Yarrowia lipolytica: one gene and its partners. Each later gene encodes a partner of the first gene's protein in a complex. Links are inferred from orthologs where the notes say so. Each region holds a gene or a part of one and is shown in the gene's direction. Other genes may lie near its edges.

The links.
Region 2: YALI1_D03575g (region 1) and YALI1_F20712g share a complex: the UniProt entries of both Saccharomyces cerevisiae proteins name them as parts of the arp2/3 complex. The link is inferred for Yarrowia lipolytica from reciprocal best matches to the Saccharomyces cerevisiae genes ARC19 and ARP2.
Region 3: YALI1_D03575g (region 1) and YALI1_B26451g share a complex: the UniProt entries of both Saccharomyces cerevisiae proteins name them as parts of the arp2/3 complex. The link is inferred for Yarrowia lipolytica from reciprocal best matches to the Saccharomyces cerevisiae genes ARC19 and ARC18.
Region 4: YALI1_D03575g (region 1) and YALI1_E40540g share a complex: the UniProt entries of both Saccharomyces cerevisiae proteins name them as parts of the arp2/3 complex. The link is inferred for Yarrowia lipolytica from reciprocal best matches to the Saccharomyces cerevisiae genes ARC19 and ARP3.

Annotation. Positions count from the first base shown.
Region 1 is NC_090773.1:356,677-362,638, reverse strand, and holds YALI1_D03575g (uncharacterized protein), read left to right. Parts: upstream 1-3,006; coding exon 3,007-3,008; intron 3,009-4,266; coding exon 4,267-4,764; intron 4,765-5,071; coding exon 5,072-5,081; downstream 5,082-5,962. Other genes in the region: YALI1_D03604g (uncharacterized protein), read right to left, coding at 447-2,153. UniProt on the Saccharomyces cerevisiae protein: Functions as actin-binding component of the Arp2/3 complex which is involved in regulation of actin polymerization and together with an activating nucleation-promoting factor (NPF) mediates the formation of branched actin networks.
Region 2 is NC_090775.1:2,068,766-2,073,570, forward strand, and holds YALI1_F20712g (uncharacterized protein), read left to right. Parts: upstream 1-2,475; coding exon 2,476-3,654; downstream 3,655-4,805. Other genes in the region: YALI1_F20669g (uncharacterized protein), read left to right, coding at 1-1,329; YALI1_F20742g (uncharacterized protein), read right to left, coding at 4,167-4,805. UniProt on the Saccharomyces cerevisiae protein: Functions as ATP-binding component of the Arp2/3 complex which is involved in regulation of actin polymerization and together with an activating nucleation-promoting factor (NPF) mediates the formation of branched actin networks.
Region 3 is NC_090771.1:2,642,432-2,646,812, forward strand, and holds YALI1_B26451g (uncharacterized protein), read left to right. Parts: upstream 1-2,645; coding exon 2,646-3,173; downstream 3,174-4,381. Other genes in the region: YALI1_B26430g (uncharacterized protein), read right to left, coding at 1-637, 1,197-1,247; YALI1_B26517g (uncharacterized protein), read right to left, coding at 3,700-4,381. UniProt on the Saccharomyces cerevisiae protein: Functions as a component of the Arp2/3 complex which is involved in regulation of actin polymerization and together with an activating nucleation-promoting factor (NPF) mediates the formation of branched actin networks.
Region 4 is NC_090774.1:4,051,819-4,057,233, reverse strand, and holds YALI1_E40540g (uncharacterized protein), read left to right. Parts: upstream 1-2,671; coding exon 2,672-2,705; intron 2,706-3,252; coding exon 3,253-4,451; downstream 4,452-5,415. Other genes in the region: YALI1_E40571g (uncharacterized protein), read right to left, coding at 1-133; YALI1_E40502g (uncharacterized protein), read right to left, coding at 4,957-5,415. UniProt on the Saccharomyces cerevisiae protein: Functions as ATP-binding component of the Arp2/3 complex which is involved in regulation of actin polymerization and together with an activating nucleation-promoting factor (NPF) mediates the formation of branched actin networks.

The DNA of each region.
Region 1 (5,962 bases):
TCTGTGCGTGAGCTAGCGCAGTGAACGTTCCAGAGGTGTGAGAGTGCTTCTCGTTGCGTCTTGGTGATGCAAGCGCCATGAGATGTCTCTGACCAGTGAGTCACACCAACGTCTGCCGCATCATCCTGTCCAGAATTGCCATTCATTCCGAACGGAGCAACGTCAGCTTCTCCTACTAGCCCTGGTATCCCTACATGATGGCCCGGTGCTGTGACTGGGGTTTCGGGGTCTTGACTCACAGTCGAACATGTAAGACCACAGTCCGTGCACTACTGCTCAATAATATGAGATTCAGACCAATTCACTTAATCTTCCACGATTGCTTATTACATGTTCATTATGGATATATATTACAGCTGTGGAGGTGCCAGACGGCTGCATCAGGGACATCAGGGACCACCATCACAAACAAAATTACTCGTCAGGCATGAATTCCAGTTTGTTCTCTAATAATCCAGAGAAACGCCTCTCTTGTCCCCTCTCTCGCCTCTATCACCCCGCTCCCTTTCTCCGCCTCCCCTCACGTCTCTATCTCTACCCACTCTTCCTCTCGGCCTGTCCCTCAATCTGGCGATGTACTTGTCGAACGCCGCTTCTCTCTGCACCGCACTGAGTCCCTTTGCTTCCGGCAGTCGGTCGGCCACTCTTCTTACCGCATCCCACGTGTCCGACACCTGGATGACCGGCTCCATGTCTCTCAGGGCGTACCGGAAGTCGTCCTGAAGTCGTCGCAGCTTTCGATCTGAAGCAAACCGGTCGATTTCGAAATCCGAGTCCTTGAGAGCATTGTAGACCTGCTGGGTGTACCGAGGATGTTCGAGATTGGTGGTGTAGTCCGAGCACGCTGCGATCAGGTGGCCAAATTCGTCGAGGGTCAGGCTGTCGATATTTTTGCCCTCGCTTGTCAGATATCCCTGGGCGATGGTCCTCAGGTTTCGGACCCGTCTGTTTTCGACCTCAATCACGTCCCAGAAGAGGTCCAGCGGTGTGGATGAGTGTCTGATTCCACACAGGTTCTGGAATCGCACATCGTCCTTGATGTAGTCCACCAGCTCCTTCCATTTGGTGGTGTAGACGATATGGCCCTTGTCGACCTGTTCGGAGAGCAGTTTGACAAACTGTTGGCGGGCTATTCTGGCCTGTCTGGCAGCGACGGCGGATTTCTGTTCAATCTGTTCCACCAACTCGGCTTCCTTCTCTTCGATTGTCTTTGAATAGACGTCCAGCAAGTCCATCTTGTTGAGCAGTCGCATTTCCGGCCTCTCGGCAGCAAGTTCCGCCGATCTCGACTTGATATCTCTCAGGGTATCGTTCCAGGTAGATTTGACAATGTCGATTTGCAGCACGGACTTGAGAAATTGTTTTCCGGCGGCCTTGATCTCGGCGGTTTTTTTCTGCTCCTGTTCGTTCAAAAAACGGACATATTTTGCGAGCGCCAGTTTACGGTCGTCCACGTGACCTGTGTGGAACAGTGGGTCGTCGCGGAACTCTTCTTCCACGCTGATCCAGCGAGAATACGGCCCAATCTTGTTGGACTGTTCAAACAAATCATAGACTCTCTGCTGGTACTCCAGGCGTTTATCCAACGTCTCCTGGACCTCCTTCTGCTCAATCTCGGTCAGAAACTCCTCAAACAGTTCCCGCCGTCTCAGAGCGTCTCGCACAGCCCAGTATCGGGGGTCTTCAAGACACTCTTTCATCAGCTTCTGAACCGTCCAGCTACTGTCGACCTCCTTGTCGGCCATCAGCTGTTTGTAAGACGCCTCAATCTCCTCGGAACTGCCTCCCTTGAACTGCTGCTGCACATTATCCGGCGCAATCGAGCTCAGAGACGGTAAATGTTCCTCTCGTTTTTCTCGACCACGCTGTTCTCGCACCTCTCGGGGTTCTTTGGGAATCGACTCATCGGCCGCCGCTTCTCCCTGAAGAATCGCTTCGGCATCTGCGGGAAACACCCACACACTTTCCTTGGACTCGGTGTTGAACCAGTATTTGCGGCCTCCCTCGGCGGTGTATTCCTTCCAGTTTGTGCGTTTGAGGGCGATTTCGCGCTCCGTGAAGAGCTCCTCGGGCTTGTCCCACGTCGAGTTTTGCGTTTCCGGGTCGAAGTAGTACGTTCGTCCGTCCTCCGCCTTGTGTTCTTGCCAGGTCATTTTGTGGTGATGGAGCTGGGTGATGTTGGATATTAGGAGGGTGAGTAGATAGAGTTGAACTTTAATGAGAAAACCAATTAGTTGATAAATGGAAAATGATAAAGAAAATTGTAAGTAGTTGGAGGAATGAAGAAGAAGAATTGAAAAATGGATAAAAAATTGTTTGGTTGAATTAAAATTGAATTAAAATTAAATTAAAAGGAAATTGAAAAATAATTGAATTAAAATCAAAATTCGTTTATATAAAGAAAAGAGAAAATAATCAAAATATGTCACGTGATAACATAAGTAGTCACTCTACCAATGTTCTCAACCAAAACTCCAGCATCTGGAAGGTTCTCTGTTTACCCATCTAAGTCAACTAAATTAAAAAAAATAAAAAAATTACGGATTAAATCCCCAACTAAATTATTCCATTGAAAACTAAAAATATATAGATTAAAAATGCTATTTATAAATATATATAGATATTTTTTTTTCAAAAAAACAAAACTGTGAGACGATAGATGGTATTAAGACCTCAAAAAAATTGACAAAAAAAAACAAATGTGTCATCATCTTGGTATGAAAGCCCATGAAGGGGGGAATCCATTAATTCTCTCCATTTCAATATATCTCAAATATCCATCAAGATATACCTCAATATACTCCTTTTTTTATCTAATTGAATTTTTAAAACGGATTTATTTCCTGTAATATTCCTTACTCACACCGACTCCGCTCCCAAATATTCCTCGAAAATGCCACCCCAAAATCCAGGGTTAGGGTTCCCAATCACCACCTAATAATACTCTGGAGATGCATACGGTACCTCTACATACGCACGACTAATAGCGCAACCGACCCGACCGAGATGGTGAGTATAGCGAAAGGGGGCGAAAAGGGCGATTTTCGATGCGCAAAATACGACAAAATGAGTGTTAGGGTCATTGATTGTTTAGGGTATGGAGCCGGGGGATTTGAGGGGATGGAGCCGGGGGATTTGAGGAGGGACCAGAGGCTCATGGGTTCTATGTCCTTTGCCGAGCTACGGGGGTTTTTGATGAGCGCATTTATGTCATTTTGTGGCGAGCGGATCTGTGTCTGTTGGGTCTCTGATGACGTGGCGAGTTCCGATTGACTGATGGCTCCAGATGAGTTGTTTTGATCCATCTTGTTGGTGAGATTGAGTGTGTTGTGCGCCATAATTCAGTGGGTCAATGAGTCGACTATAGTTAATGAGCCGGATGGGATGTGGTGGTTCAGTCATCGCTGTTGGTTCATTCTGATGATTGTCTAGTTCTGTCGACAGTGGAGTTCAAGTGGCCACTACGTTGAACATGTCTTTCACTACATATACCAGCAACATGTCCTTTTGCGGGCTCCAGTTGACTATGACGAGTTCTGGCTACTTCGAGTGACTCTACGGTGCTTCTGTGCTTAGAGTGTCTGTCTTGAGATATGACACTGCGACCGCCATTGCGACAACGACAACGACAACGACAGCTACGGCAATTACGACACAGAGCGCTTCCTGATGATACCCTGACTATGCCGTTGACGGTCACCTCCTCCCCCTCCCTCACTTTCCCCACCGACCACTTGCACCGATCTGCACTCTACCAGTGCGCGCGATACTCAGGTGTGTCCGCTAGCGTCGTTCTGATCGCTCTACTGTCACTTGCTCATAGTTGGCTGGCTCTGAGTCGTCAGAGATGATGACTCCTTCAATGACCCAGTGGTGACTGTTTCAATACCTCCTATGACTCCTCCGATGACTACTCCGATGACTCCTCCAGTCACCCTTAATGACGTCCGGTGACCCTAAAAGACTATGACTGCCACTGTTGAGTTCTACCCTGTTGACTTCTACCGTCGACATCTCTGAACTCGTCAGCGCCGGTGTCTGTCGATGTGTTCATCTGCCAAGTTGGCCCCTGTGGTGGACCTAGTCATCACCTTGCAGCTCTCCCGGCTCTCCGCCTCTCCCGGTGTAACATGATTGTTGGGATCCTACATCGAGTGTCATAGTTCGCATCTAAACTCCGTTGAAGACACCTTGAAACAGGTCACCTCACTCAGCGACTTTTTTTTTGAATCGCTCTACGCATCTATTGTGACATGCGCTAACCCAGTCCCAATCCCTCCGACCCTACCTTCTTGCCGTACGTACCTCTCTCACAGCAGCCCTCTGTCTGGAAGACTTTGGCTCGCAGGTGGCAGAGCGACACAATGTGCCCGAGGTGGAGTCCGGCAAGTCAGCTGAGGCGCTGCTCAACCCTATGACCATTGCGCGAAACGAAAACGAAATGGTGCTGATCGAGCCATCCATCAACTCGGTGCGAGTGTCGATTCGAATCAAGCAGGCGGACGAGATTGAACGGATTCTCGTGCACCAGTTCACGCGGTTCCTGACCGGCCGAGCCGAGTCTTTCTACATTCTGCGACGAAAACCCGTGCCTGGATACAGCATTTCGTTCCTCATCACAAACTTCCACACCGAGACCATGCTCAAGCACAAGCTGGTGGACTTTATCATTGAGTTTATGGAGGTGGTCGACAAGGAGATCAGTGAGATGAAGCTGGTGCTCAATGCCAGAGCGCGATTTATCGCAGAGAGTTATTTGGTTGCGGTGAGTACAGATCAACTAGTGAGCGTAGCGAGCTACTTGTAAATGACCAGATCATGAGCGCAACGAATGATCAAGAGTTCAAAACACGAGTGATATTTGATCATTGTGAGAACTCTGACAGTGGGACTATCATTTTCGAGTTACTCGTTGATGGTAGTCTGACAGTTTGAGTTTCAGCAATGTGGTTGGAGATGTATGATCTGAGTGTCTGAGGAGCAGGACTGTTCAGAACTGCTTACCACATCTTCACATTCCGCTATGCTCAATGACCTCACAATGACCTTCCCTTCTCTCTTTACTAACACAGTTCGACTAACCTGTACTCACCTGTACTGTAACTATATAGCGTAACGATGTTTAATGAAAAGTCCGAGCCGTACTTTTAATGGCCAGGTATCATGTCTCCGATATGGTTACAAGTACAAGTACTGCAATATCACTCATGGCCATTAAAAAGACAGATGAGAGTCATAATGGTGAAAAGAGCGCTCCATGCATTCTCTGCTTAATCAGAATAGTGCTTATTTTGCTTAGTCATTCTGCTTCTTCCTGAACACAATGGGACAACTCTTGTTTGGTTTAAAAAAGCACTCCCCCTTGAGATATTCACAAACATTTCCATTTTCAGATCCACCACAATATGCAGTAGTCATCTTTAGTCAGCACCATTAATTCCTGTAATACTCAGACTAGTCCGGACACGTCTTATCCACTCCGTTTCAACTGCGTTTCTGAGTCAATTATACGAGCAGATACAGTTTGGACTAGCTAAATATTAAAGTAATAATATTATATTTTTAAAGAGAGAATAATAAAAAAAAAATAAACAAATAAACAAAAAATAAACAAATAAATAAACAAATAAACAAATAAATAAATAAACAAATAAACACATATTTGCAAATAAAAACCACCAAAAATCTTAGTAATATTGTTCTCCGTTCTCTCGACGCACCGATTTCCTCAATCCCCCGATTACATAAGTCTGCCTCTGTCTTCAAGCCCCACGCCGCATTCTTATCTCCCACCAATCCCTCTGAATTTTAATTGTCGTTTGACAGAGGCCCGCTTAGTCAAACGTTAAATATTATATTTATTTGGTCGATGATTTGATAGTGACTAAGCCGGTAGCTAGCGCTCGCGCCCGGACAGCGAGGAACAACAAAAACGGAGGCATTACCACGTGACCTACTGATT
Region 2 (4,805 bases), on another chromosome or scaffold:
GGCGTATCTCAGCCCGCCCAGGCTGCCCGGTCTTCGCATGGCTATTACTCCCATGCTCTTCCTCAGTTGTCGGTGAATACGGCCTCTTCACCGATCAAACAGCCGCCCAGTGCTTATTCGCCAAAAGAAAAACACAATGGCGAGTTCCCCAGTTACAAGAGTGTGCGCCAGCCTATCCCACAGTCGCCGTACCTGCCCCATCTTGCACCCATGTCCGGATCGCCTCCCCCCATGTCTCTGACCTTTACCACAGGTCTCAAGAACCTCGGAAACACCTGCTATATCAACTGCATCATCCAGTGTCTTGCCACATCGCAGCTGACCAAGATCATTGTGAATCAGGCATACAAGCATCGAGTCAACATGAAGTCAAAGCTGGGATACAAGGGAGCTTTGATTGCCAAGTATGCTGATCTCGTGCAGGCTCTAGTGGCGAACGCTTACCCTTACTTGGTCCCCACTTCCTTCAAAGGAATCATTGCACATGTCAACTCTCAGTTCAGCGGCATGGAGCAGCATGACTGTCAGGAATTTTTGACTTTCATTCTTGATGGCCTGCATGAGGAGCTCAACTCTGTGGGCGATGGTCAATACAAGCCCCGTGAGCTGACCGAGAGCGAGGAGAAGCGACGAGAGGAGATGAGTGTTCGAATTGTGTCATCTCTGGAGTGGGAGCGGTACCTCAAGTCCGCGTCTTCGTTTATTGTCGACGAATTTCAGGGCCAGTACCAATCAAAGCTCCAGTGTACTGTGTGCAAAATGACGTCGACGACATACACTGCATTCTCGTCGCTAACTCTGCCCATCCCCAAGTACGCTGGGGCCACTCTCCCAACGCTGTACGACTGCTTCAACCAGTTTACGCAGCCGGAGTTGCTGGAGGGCGAAAACATGTGGCAGTGCCCTACGTGCAAGAAGCCGCGGCCCACTATCAAGTCTATGAAGATCTCGCGGCTTCCAGAAACTTTGATCATCCATCTCAAGCGGTTCGACCACTCACGGGGCTATGGAGACAAGCTCAACACGTTTGTTACGTACCCTCTGGAGATGGATCTCACGCGGTATTGGCCTCCGCCCACATCGGAGGACGAGCCCTTCTTGAAGAAGCTGCTTCCTCGTGGCCAGACGGCTCCTTTCCGGTACTCACTGTTTGGAGTGGCCAACCATTACGGAACGCTGCGCGGGGGTCATTACACGTCGTTCTGCAAGCGTGGCAAGCTCGGATGGTGCTACTTTGACGATACGGTGGTGAACAGAAACGTGAACGAGCGAGCCGTTGTTAACAAGAATGCGTATGTGTTGTTCTACCAGCGCCGGCACAATCCTTAGACTTCTCAGAGACACGGTAGGCGATATACAATGAGGGGACGAAAAGCATCTTGAAAAATATGCATATAGCTATTTATATAACGAATTATGATTGCATGATAACATGGCTTTGGTGGAGGGCAGGTGTGTACATCACACTGGTTGTTGTAAGTTTAGTTATGTACTTGATGGTTGATTACGCCTATGACTGTCTCACCTCTATAGTTCGGAGATACGGAGTCTTGGAAGTGATGTTTTCAACAAGGTCTGACTATTGATTGATTATTACGTGCCAGGTACTAAAAGAAAACGTGAGCAATTCTTGGCATTTTTCTATTAGTAATATTTTTCCATTAGTAATAATAAATATCAAGCGATCAACCAAAGTATTTTGGTCGTTTTGTTTCAGATAAGTGTTGATGTAGCACTGCAACAAGCTACAACCATGAGTGAACAGTATGTACTGGATGTAAGAGTATTAGTATGAGTACATTGTATATGGATGGTGGGGTGAAGAGGAGATTGTTTTATTAGCACAACCCTTAAGCGTACAGTATCCGCGTTCCCCGACTGGGGGCCGTAGCTATTACTATTTTTTTTTTTTGTTTTTTATTTTTTTTTTTATTTTTATTATTTTTATTATTATTTATATTATTTATTATTATTATTTTATTATTATTATTATTTTTTTTATTATTTTTTATTATTTTTTATTATTTTTTTATTATTTTTTATTATTTTTTATGCTTCTTTTTTTTTTCTCTTTTTCTGCTTCTTTTTCTGCTCTTTTTTACCCTTTTTCAGCTGTTTTTCTGCCCTTTTTTACTCTATTTGAACATCTCCGACATTTCGCGGCCTGGAAATAAAGTTGTCCAGGCTGGCTAGATGGAGATAGCAATTCGGAGGTGGGATGGGAGGTGAGCTGGAGCTCGGTGTTGAGATAAGAAAGTGTATAGAAGGGCGTGTTTGAGACGCAATTAGTAAGAGAGAGACCCAATTGAGCTATTTGGGGTGTACTGGTCGCATTGTCACATCCATCTGGCCATGTCAGCCTACAAAACAACGGTTTTTTGCAGGCTCGTCGAGGGTGGCTGACTAATAAACTCCCGCATACAGCGCTCTCGACAGTGCATGACATCCACCCTCCATCCACACCACTGAGCGAATATGAGCGAACAACCAATTGTGCTAGATCAAGGAACCGGCTTTGTGAAAATCGGCTACGGAGGCACCAACTTCCCCGAACACACCTTCCCGTCGATGGTGGGTCGGCCCATTCTGCGGGCTGAAGAGCGGGCCACAGACACATACGGCGACGTGGCCATCAAGGACATTATGTGTGGAGACGAGGCTGCCGCGGCACGAAACATGCTGCAGATCTCGTACCCGATGGAGAACGGAGTGATTCGAAACTGGGAAGACATGGGTCACCTGTGGAACCACTCGTTTTACGACAAGATGAAGATTGACACCCGGGGTCGAAAGGTGCTGCTCACAGAGCCTCCCATGAACCCCCTCAAGAACCGGGAAAAGATGTGCGAGATCATGTTTGAGCACTACGGCTTCAATGGCGTTTATGTAGCCATCCAGGCCGTCCTGGCTCTGTACGCACAGGGCCTGTCGTCAGGAGTGGTGGTGGACTCTGGAGACGGTGTTACCCACGTGGTGCCTGTCTACGAGTCTGTGGTGCTCAACCACCTGACCCGTCGTCTGGACGTCGCTGGTCGAGATGTCACCCGACAGCTGATTGCTCTGCTACTGCGACGAGGATACGCCTTCAACCGAACTGCCGACTTCGAGACCGTGCGACAGATCAAGGAGAAGTTCTGCTACGTCTCCTACGACCTGGACCTCGACACAAAGCTCGCCAACGAAACCACTGCTCTGGTCGACACCTACGAACTTCCTGACGGCCGAACCATCAAGCTGGGATCAGAGCGATTCGAGGCCCCCGAGTGTCTGTTCCAGCCCCATCTGGTCGACTCGGAACAGCCTGGAATCGCCGAGACGCTGTTCAACACTATCCAGGCCGCCGACATTGATGTGCGATCGTCGCTGTACAAAGCCATTGTGTTGTCTGGAGGTTCGTCCATGTATCCCGGTCTGCCATCCCGAATGGAGAAGGAGCTCAAGCAGCTGTGGCTCACCCGGGTGCTTAACGGCGACCCCACCCGACTCAACAACTTCAAGGTCAAAATTGAGGACCCCCCTCGACGACGACATATGGTCTTCCTGGGAGGTGCCGTGCTTGCTAACATTATGCATGACAAGGAGCACATGTGGATCTCCAAACAAGAGTGGGAGGAGCAGGGCCCCGCATGCCTGGCCAAGCTTGGTCCCAGATAAGCGGCAACTCCAGCTACAACCCTGCATTGACAGTATCAACCTAACACTGTCGATGAAGGAACTATGTATGTTATATGATGAAACGATTGACGAACTGTACTAGCTGTGTAGCAGCGAGTGCAGTGGATGTAGCAGCAGAGCTACAGAGCGCCCAACTTGCCGCGAGTCTTATTGTACGATTAGTGTAGGCTGTCAGATGGGCATTTGCAAGTATTAACTGTTATCTGTGGATATATTGTTGATTGTCAGTGCACTGTATGCCATGTCAAATTGCTAATTAATCATTTGTGCGTGATCAACTGACCCTTCACCTTCACAGATCACATCGTCACTTCTCTCGTCTTCATTCCAAATGGGATGCAGAGTTATGACGCTGCTTCCAACTATTCAGTGGACCGCAATACTCCACCACTCGTAGCTATTTCTCAGTTCCGCACTTGTCCATCCTTCTCTACTCAACTCATAAAATCGTATTATCTATTCATTAATCATTATATCGCCTTTGGCAAGGACTAGGCCCACTTTCCGATGAGGGACATACAAATCATGCCTCCAACCAGACCCGACATTGCGAAAAAGACTCGCTTTTTGGGTGCAAAAGAAAGATCTCCAAACAGCCAGTCGAACGCCAACATCTCCACAACTCCAGCCCAAATGAGCACGCCAGCAGACAGAGCCGAGATGGTTCCAATGGCCCAAATGGTGGCAGGGTCGTTGGAGTTCATGGAGTCCATGACACCGAGACCAATAGCCATGCCGATGGGAGTGATGATGGTGAAATAGGTGCACATGCTCATTTTGAAGAACAGAGACGAGTCACGAAGTCCGGCGATTCGAGACCCAAGGCCGATACCTTCGAACGCCTGGTGGAACAGAATGGCGATGAACAGAGAAATGAAGCCGTCATCGTCGGCAATTGTGACTGCAACGCCGACAAGAACAGAATGGAAAATGATGCCTCCCTCCATGATAATGACGGAGATCTTATCGTTAGGATCAATCAGAGTGGCGTTGTGAGCAGCACAGCCCATGTTGGCGGCTCCAGACATGTCGATCTGGGTTTCAATTACGTCCACGGCACCCTTGACCTGGTCCTTGTCGCAATCGTCCGATTCACTGGAGTGGTTGGGCTTCTTTCGCTCATGACGGGC
Region 3 (4,381 bases), on another chromosome or scaffold:
TCTGGGGTCGCCGGGAAATGTGGTAAGGGTTAGCCTGGGTCTGGATCTGTGGCGGTTGTTGCTGTCGTGAGAACTGCTGGCCACCGTATTGCGGTGCTCCAGGAGTCATTCCCTGGCCCATACTTGTTGGGGGCATGTTTCCTCCCTGGACCTGGCCGCCCTGAGGGTGCTTCTGAGGCGAGTATTGCTGCTGATGCGGGGGTGGAACATGTTGCGGAGCATGTTGCGGAGGACCGTGCTGCAGCTGAGGAACATGATTCTGCGGGGGAGGACCGTGGTGCTGCTGGGGAGGCGCGTGGGGAACATGCTGGGGCACCTGCTGGGAAGCATGCTGAGGAGGAGCCTGCTGTCCCTGTCGTCCTACAGCGTAAGGATACTGGGTCTGGCCCGTGTGTCCCTGAGGCTGGCCTTGCGGGTACTGTCTCGGCGACTGCTGCTGGGCCTGTCCGGGCTGTGGCCGGTTGGTCGGGTAATGTCGCGGTGGCATGTGTTGCTGTGGCTGCTGGTGATGCTGGGGTGGGGGATTGGCATGATGCGAGGGCTGCATGGGGGGCTGTTTGGTCTGGCCCTGGGGAGGGGCTTGGCCTTGTTCATACCGCTCGTTGAGGTTTTGCATGGACCGCGAGGCGGGGATGCGCTTGGTTAGTATACGGGAGCAACAGGTGTGAGGGTCCGAAAGTCGAGGGCGGACAACGAGATGTAGCTAGTGGAGCAGAAGAATGGGCTGTGATAATTTGTATATGGCGATTCTTAGAGTCGATGTAGGTTTGATTTGCCCTAAGTGTGTCGTCATGTATGCTCTACACCACGTCGTGATGTGTCGTGCGATGCGTTGGTACGCCTTGGTTCCCCTCAAACCACGTCAAACAGTGTCGCTAAAATGTCGCCATAGGAACAGTACAGTCGTGAACATTCACCAAATGAAATTACTGCACATTCCACAGCAATCTCATCTGAATATATCCTTCACGTCACCCTTAAACCATCCGCTCATCTGTGTAACTGCGCGGTACGATAGGAACACCGCTTGTACTGTTGGGATATGAGCCATGTCGATGCTTCTAATTCTAGGTCTCTTCTTCTGCCTGTCTGTGTCTCGCTTGCCACTGGTTCTGTGTTCACATCAGTCTCCTTTCTGTCCATATCACCCATTGCCTGTGTCTATCAGGGTTTCTCCTCATGTCTCATCTACTCACCTGCATCGACGGAATATCGGTAAAAGGAATATCCAACACGTCCTGCGCCATTTGAGCTGCCCTGGGTCGAGTGTGACTAGTTGTGTGTCTCTTGGGGCGTTGTGTCGTGCAAACAACAACTGGTGTAGAGATTGGCGGGCTCTGAAAAAGTGTAGTACTGTACCCTAAGACGCACGAGGCTGTGTTTGTGTGGTGCCAACTTTAGGTTGCTTAGTCACCTGCGGTATTAGTGTGGGGGGAATAAATGGAGCGCTATGAGGGAGACGCATGCAACTTGACCCGGTCGGTACGGTCTATATTACTTGCTACAATGTGGTGAACCGGTGGTCTTTTTTCTCGTGAAAATCTGTCTTTTTTTTCGGCATTTATAGGACTGCCGAAAACGTCAGAAAATAGGGTTGGGGAAGACTGTACAAGAGCAGACCTTTGTATGAGTACTCGAGATACTTTTTTGGAGAGATGATGAAGAAGTCCAAACACCTCCAGTGTGTCATAATAGCCTGTGATGAACTATTTGCTGGCTTTTACTGTCACCTTTCTACCCAAAAGTACCCCTCTCTGACCCACCATTGTCGGTCATATTCACTATGTCCGTCGTATGCAGTCCATCACTTAACCTCATTTGTCCTTAATAAGCACAGGGGTACAGTAGTCCAAAAAGCAATAAACACGGAAGACTCAAGACCGTCAGCCGATGGTCCTGTAGCAGTTGAGCAAGGGAGTGGCTGGAAGCCGAAAATAGTGCCTTGTGTAGCCACAAGTAGATAACAATTCCTTTCAACTTCAAGCACGATAACCACTCAATTGTTAACTCAATAACTGTTCGCTCGCACTTGCCACACAGCTTGCTTGTACCTACGATAGGTGCAACTGTATTGTAGGCATGTGTCCTACAGAATGATCCTCGTCCCCTCCCCGATTATAGCCATTACGGTATTGACATTGAGACACTTACTACTGTAATACGAACATCGGCTACTTGTACTTGTACCAGGGTGTGATAATGAACTCTCTTAACTCCGGTTCCCCGCAAGTCAACCCGGCTGGCACTACAGTCGGTCACACCTTTATCTGACACAGTAGCTACGGTACAGTAAATCTGAAGTTCAATCAACTGAGGGAGTGATTTGAGAAAACAAACTCAAGTGCCATCCAAGTAAAATCCAAGTATGTTACTGAAGCAACCCGCACCCCCTTCCTCCGAATGTTCGCTTCGTAATCAGCGGAATTCATGGTCGAAACATTTCCAATTCACTCAATTGAATCGGCTTATGACATTCCATCAATCCACCTACCTCCGGTCACCAAAATCTCACCTCCCACCATTCCTTGCAATTTCACCTCTAACTGCGCCATTATTAGAGTTCACCAGCTATCTCCACCTCATCACACCCAAACCTGTCATTACCAACGCATCACCAACGTTAACACATCCAACCAGACACAAAAATGCCAGCTCTGAACAGTACATTTCTCGGCGAGGACCAGGACACCCGGGTAGTGGGCAATTTCGCTATCCTCCCCATCAAAACGTCATTCCGAGGCCCCAGTTACCCCAGCAACGCCGACTACGACATCATCGACGAGGTGCTGGATCTGTTCCGAGCAAACTCATTCTTTAAGAACTTTGAGATCAAGGGCCCTGCCGACCGGGCTCTCATTTACGGCATTCTCTTTGTGTCCGAGTGTCTGGGAAAGCTCAAGCCTACCACTTCTGCCAACGAGGCCAACAAGTTGCTGAACACTGCTGCTGTGGAACACTTTTCCATTCCCGGAGACGCCGGCTTCCCACTGAACTCTCTCTACGCCCCTCCCCGAGACCGAAATGAGGTCGAACTGCTGCGAGGCTACCTGATGCAATTCAGACAGGAGCTGGCAAAGCGTCTGATTGAGAAGATCTACAAGGACGACCCTTCCAAGCCCAACAAGTACTGGTTGGCTTTCACCAGAAGGCATTTTATGAACAAGAGTTTGTAAGCGAATGAATTACTAGGCACAGCCGGGTAATGTATGAGCGGTGAACAAACACAAGCAACTCCGGTGATGAATCTCCACCAAACAGCTGAAGGAAGAGGTGCATCAGAGCACAAACTAAAGCCCTGGATACACAATGTAACTAATGAATGATATGATAAGGTAACTTTGTAGGAGCTGGTCGTATGGATGAACTGTATGTATGTATAATAATGTATTGTCACTGTGTATCAGTATGTACATTGTACTCGTACTTTTTCGTACTTTTACGTACTCGTACTGTGTGCTTGTACTTGTATTGATCCAGTCTATACAGTCTATTTGTTTTATCTTTCTCACACTTTGAATATGACAAGTGGCGATAGACTACAACATACAGTAGGGATGTTGCCATAGGCACCCGTGCTAATTGCAAGTAGTCATTGTCAAGCGCCTACACTCAACTCAATTAAATCTTCATATAATACATATAAATAAACACGCTTTATCCATGCTATCCTTCCGTCCTTCGTGTCCTCCTCTCCCCTCTCTACTGCCAATAAGGTGGATAAGGTCCTGGGGGTGACTGCTGTCGTGGAGGATACATGCCTGGAGGAGCTCCGGGAGTGCCGGGAGCGCCGGGCGCGCCGGGAGCACCCGAAGGAGGACCCGCCATGGCATTGAGAGGCGGCAGGGTGATTCCTCCAGGACGTCCTCCACTCGGCTTTGAATCGCCATTGAGAATCGACGTGATCGACGACGTCTTCGAAGGCCGCTGCAGAATCGGCAAGGGCGGCAGTGTCTGCCGAGGCCCGTGGGGTGTGTGAGCGTTGATGGGCGGCAGAGAAAACCCAGTGGGAGAGCTCTGCTGTGGCGGAGGCGTGTGCGACAGCGGAGGCATGTAAGGTGAGTAGGTACTTCGTTGAAGATCTTGTCTCTGGAGGTCCTGCTGACGCTGTAGCTCCTGCTGTCGTTTAAGCTCCTGTTGACGCTGCAGCTCTTGGCGTTGGAACTCTTGCTGGCGCTGGAATTCCTGCTGTTGCTGCTGTTGCTGCAGCTGTCGCTGTCTCTCCTGCTCCTGCTGTCGCTGTCTGTGCTCCTGCTCCTGCTGCTGTCTCTGTCGCTCCAGCTGCTGGTCTTGCAACTGTCGCTGTCTCTCCACCTGTTCCTGCTCCTGCAGCTGTCGCTGGCGCTCCAGTTGCTGGCGCTCCAGATTGGGTCGCTCCTGCTTG
Region 4 (5,415 bases), on another chromosome or scaffold:
ACATGAAGATGTACGAGATGATGATTCGGAAGGAAGTGCTGTGGAACTGGGTCATGTCCACCAGGTCGAACGACGACTGGCCGACTTGGCGTGCCCATTTCTCCCGGTTTTCAAAGCAGAAGAATGGGAACATGAGAATGGGTTGTATGCAGTTATGGTGATGAGATAGGAGTGAGATGACTTACTGATTCAACTCGTTTAGGTGGTGTGCAAGAGGAAATGATATGTTGCGTGAAAAGATGTACGCCGTCGTACTGAATATCTTTCGAGAGCCGTCTATCTTGTCTGTATTGTCCTCTTGTGAAGTTGTTTGTATCGCCAAGAGCAGTCTTACAAATAGTCACTCTCTCGTTGTCCGTTGTCAGTCCGATGATGTAATGCTGATGCAGAGTCGATGTCGACTTGTGTCTGAGTCGGTGTTGGAAGATGGACAGTCGAAGGGGTTGTTGTATGCAAAAATTATGCTCCGGGTGGTTCGGTTTGTCCTCTGTCCTCAAACAGCCCCAGCGATGAGGCTCCAAGTGGTTGGTCTCAACATCTCACCCACCTGTGCACCATAGTGCATACCCACCTACTACCCAAGGTTAAACTCGGCAGATAATTTCCCTGTGTTCACATAGTCCAGAGCCCCTAGGTAAGAAAAAGGGGGAGCGCGTGTAAAAGTGATACAAGTGGAAATGTGCCAATTTTACAGCGAGTTCTACTGTTACAAAGGGTTGAAATTGATTACAATAACCCAGAATTTCCCCAAACGGTCCCCCTCTGTCATTCTATCTCCACATCGAACCCTCCTTGTCGATCCAAGTGGGCACTGCTTCATAAAAACCTTAGCGCTCCCAAAGTTGTGTCTGTGTGGCTACGCGTGGATCTGAAACATGAAACGCATATCTGTACGAGTCGTACAATACGAGTACTTGTACTTATGTTATGGCTGTTGGGTGACGTTTGGAGCCGTAAAAATCTGAGAGGTATTTTCCAGACATATATATATAGAAGACTTTCCTGGGTCTTCCGTTGTTTTTATGGCTCTCCAACCCTCGTATTTAGTGTTCTTCGCTGTACACCATCTGGTAATTAGGCGTATGTTTGGTGTCACACGTAACAAGTGTTTTAGTATATACGCCACACTAGTCGTGGTCGGAGAATGAATATTGAGACTAACAAACATGATAGGTGAATTTTTCAGTATGTCAGAGTCAGTTTGGCGAAATAAATTCCTGGTAGCTCCTGTATCAATGACTTTAGCGGTCTTCTATATCGTCGTCTCCTCTCGAGTGTTTTCAGTTGTCTCCACTACAAGTAGTTCCTATTTATAGCCGTGTGAATGTGTTGCATGCAAATTACAAGAGCGAGAGAACCAAAAAAAAATAAAAAAATGGTTCGTGAAACTGAGACAGTGAACTGACTGTTGTGAAAGACGATACACATAGGTGTTATTGGTCTTTTAGCCGTGGAAAAACACACTTGTACCTACAAGAGCCGGTACACGTGGATAGGAAAAGTTTGATGGTTATAAAGATGAACAGCAGTACAAGTACGAGAGTATACTGAAGGCCGACATGGAAAAGCTACAAGTACATTTGAGGTATGGCGGGAGCAGTCTTTCTCCTTCAATACATGAGGCAGAGACCCTTCAGAGTTAAACTAAGAAGCCAACTGGGATACGCCAATACTTGGGTCAATCGTTAAAGGGTGAAGCTGGTGGGATACAAGTACAGTATACAGTATGTACGAAAAGTGAGATAGAAGGTCCTTTCCATGCATATAAATGCGTTAGATATGACAAACCAACAAAACTGCATTTTATGTCATACTTATCGAGCTCTCTCAGAGTGATACATGATCCGCCTAACTAACTGTAGAAACAGTAACCTCCATCTTCTCAAAGGGAATACAGTACACACAGTAGTGCAAAAAGACGTGTGCCATTATTATATTCACAGCTGACAAATTGCTACCAACTTGTGTGTATGGTGTATACTTTTCATACCGTTGAAAGTGGTGTATCCGTCATACTGTGTCTTTTGAGACCAACAGTCGTCGACCACCACCCAATTAGACCACTTGGGTATTAGAAGAATAATAAACATTTAATAAGTGTCATTCCAACTAAACTTTTTCACACCAAAGTAATCCTAACCAAGTCCCGTGGTCTTGGTGCCATGATTCAATCAATGTTCCAATCACACTAGGAACCAATTCAAGAGAAAAAAATACATCTTCCTGATTCCAGTGCTCCCCCTGATGACTTTCCTATCAACGTATACCTATTTTCCATCCCGGTGCTCAACCTGTGCGTTTCTATCTTGCGTCTCTATCGTGGATTATTAAGCGGTGGATCACCCCAGAAGCAACCATGGGTCAATCATAGACCATGAAGTACACAAAAAAAGCAATAAATTGACGACAGATCTTCTGAATGTCAACTATCACTCCTCCCTAGTTCACTTGAAAGCAATCACATGATATTTCGGACATGTCACTGCACCATATCAGACTGCACTAAACACGCATTATCTCCGGTCCTCCCACTTCGCACCGCACACCCAAATTACAGGTGGCCACTACCGGGTAACTCTATATGCCGCAACACTGCTTGTCAGTTACAGCACATACATCCCGACACCAGCCCTTGAGCATCATCTGCTAACAAAAAATCAATTGAGCAACAATGGCGCATCTGGGAACCCCTGCGGTTGTCATGGGTGAGTATCGCGTGACTGGATGGACACGGCAGGATTTTCAAGGGGACTCTACTAACTTCAGACAAGTGAGTAATTCAGTGGTTTATCTCCATTGAGACATTTTGGAGAGGTGATGAGGGTTATGCTGTGGGATGATGGTGATGATGAACAGAATGAGAATGAGAGAAATGAGAAGGAACAAGAGAGTGCTGACAGACGATGATGGCTGTTGTGGAATGTCATAACCAACTATGGTTCTTCAATCGATCTTTGGACACAGGCCGCATGTCGATATTGATACATCGACATCTACATCGACGAAGACACAACGACATAACGATACAGTCAGAAACATACAGCAACGGAAGCGATCAGTGGCTACACTAAGATTATGTTATCATATCATCAGAGAAAACATAACCCGTCATATTTGTTTCAAGTCCTCTTTGTATCATCTACGCAAACCCGATACCCCACATTGATATGTGATTGTGTGGTGTGAAAGGCAACATCAACACCATAGCCTGTCATTCATCCCAGCCCACCCACGACCAAACATATACTAACTACAGCGGTACCGGTTACACAAAACTCGGTTTTGCCGGTAACGATGCCCCCTCTTTCGTCTTCCCTACAGTGATTGCCACCGCCAAAGGATCTTCCGGCGGCAACATCAGTCGTAAGGGTACCGAAGACCTCGACTTTTACATTGGCGACGAGGCCCTCGCCGCCGCCAACGGCCCTGCCTACTCGGTCAACTATCCCATTCGACACGGTCAGATTGAAAACTGGGATCACATGGAGCGGTTCTGGGAGAACTCGATTTTCAAATACTTGCGATGCGAGCCCGAAGATCATCATTTCCTGCTAACTGAGCCTCCTCTCAATCCCCCCGAGAACCGAGAAAACACCGCCGAGATCATGTTTGAGTCTTTCAACTGTGCCGGTCTCTACATTGCCGTACAGGCTGTCCTGGCTCTGGCCGCATCTTGGACTTCCAACAAGGTGACTGATCGATCTCTGACCGGAACCGTCATCGACTCCGGAGACGGTGTCACCCACGTGATCCCTGTCGCCGAGGGTTACGTTATCGGCTCGGCCATCAAGTCCATCCCCATTGCGGGCCGAGACATCACCTACTTCATTCAGAACATGCTTCGAGACCGAAACGAGCCCGACACGTCGCTCAAGACCGCAGAGCAGATCAAGGAGAACTACTGTTATGTGTGTCCGGACATTGTCAAGGAGTTCAACCGATTCGACAACGACCCTGACCGATTCCAAAAGTACATGGCCGACCAGGGTCTGCATCGACGAGCCACCGTGGATGTTGGATACGAGCGATTTTTGGCCCCTGAGATCTTCTTCAATCCCGAAATTGCCTCGTCCGACTTCCTGACCCCTCTGTCCGAGGTGGTCGACACCGTGGTCCAGTCCTCGCCCATTGATGTGCGACGAGGTCTCTACAAGAACATTGTTCTGTCTGGAGGATCAACCATGTTCAAGGATTTCGGCCGACGTCTGCAGCGAGACATTCGAACTCTTGCTGACGATCGACTTGCTGCTAACCAGCGGGCGACCGGAGTCAAGTCTTCGGGAGTCGATGTGAAGGTCATCTCACACTCCAAGCAGCGAAACGCTGTATGGTATGGAGGATCTCTGCTGTCTTCTACTCCCGAGTTCAAGAACTACTGCTACACCAAGCAGGATTACGACGAGATGGGACCTGGTATTGTGCGAAACTTTTCTCTGTTTTCCATGGTCTAGGGATTGTATGTAGTGTACATTTATGATATAACGATTGATCCAGCCCAGTGTCATGATACACGAGGTGAGTTGGTAGAAATGTTGGGTGTACTATAGAAGGCTATGTGTACACTATGTTGATAATTAATTATAAGAATACTGATGAAAGAATTCTCGTCTCAAGAGCCAATGACCCTACGTATTACGTAGTGTCCTGTGCCAAGAGTGCGTAATATCCGAGATAATAGTGCAGTTGACGTTGGTGCACAAGCCAATGGCAGCACGTTGTGGTTATTGTGGCTTTTCCTACTCCGTTGCTCCTGTCTGCTGTTATTGCTACTGCTACTGGTCGCTACTTGAAGCTACTGTCTGTGTGTAATTATATCTAATAAATGTATTCAGAAAATGCTAAAGAATAAATAGAGATCTACCAATCGATAGACCGTGAAAGTCAGAGAAGAATGTGGTTGTGAAAAGTCGTGATTGTAGAGTCGTAAAGTGTTTTGAAGTGGCCCTAGCGATCTGCTTAAGATCGCATGTAGTTGAGCAGACCCTGAATACCAGCGTCGAAGCCCTGGTCCCACTCCCAGATGGCACCGGAGTTACCCTTAGCAGCAATGTGCTGGGCTCGTCGGGCGTCCTGCCAGGCGTTGATTCGGCCAATGGTGGAGCCGTGGAACTCGTAGAAGGCGGCAGCGTCCTGCCATCCCGAAACGTATCCATCGGCGTATCGCCAGTGCTCGTAGTTACCCTGATGCTGGTCCCAGTAGGCAGAGTGCTCCTCGGTAGCCTTGGTGGCTGCCTCCTTGATGCCGGCCTTGGGATCCTTGTTGGAGCCTCCGTTGGAGAAGGTCGGGAGGGCGCCCTTCTGGGTCATGGGTTTGAAGCCCCAATCGCCTCCATCGCCGTACTGGAACTTGTAAGTCCAGAAGAACCATCCGGCTCGGGCATTCTGGTTGAAGGACTCAATTTGAACCTGGCCGTA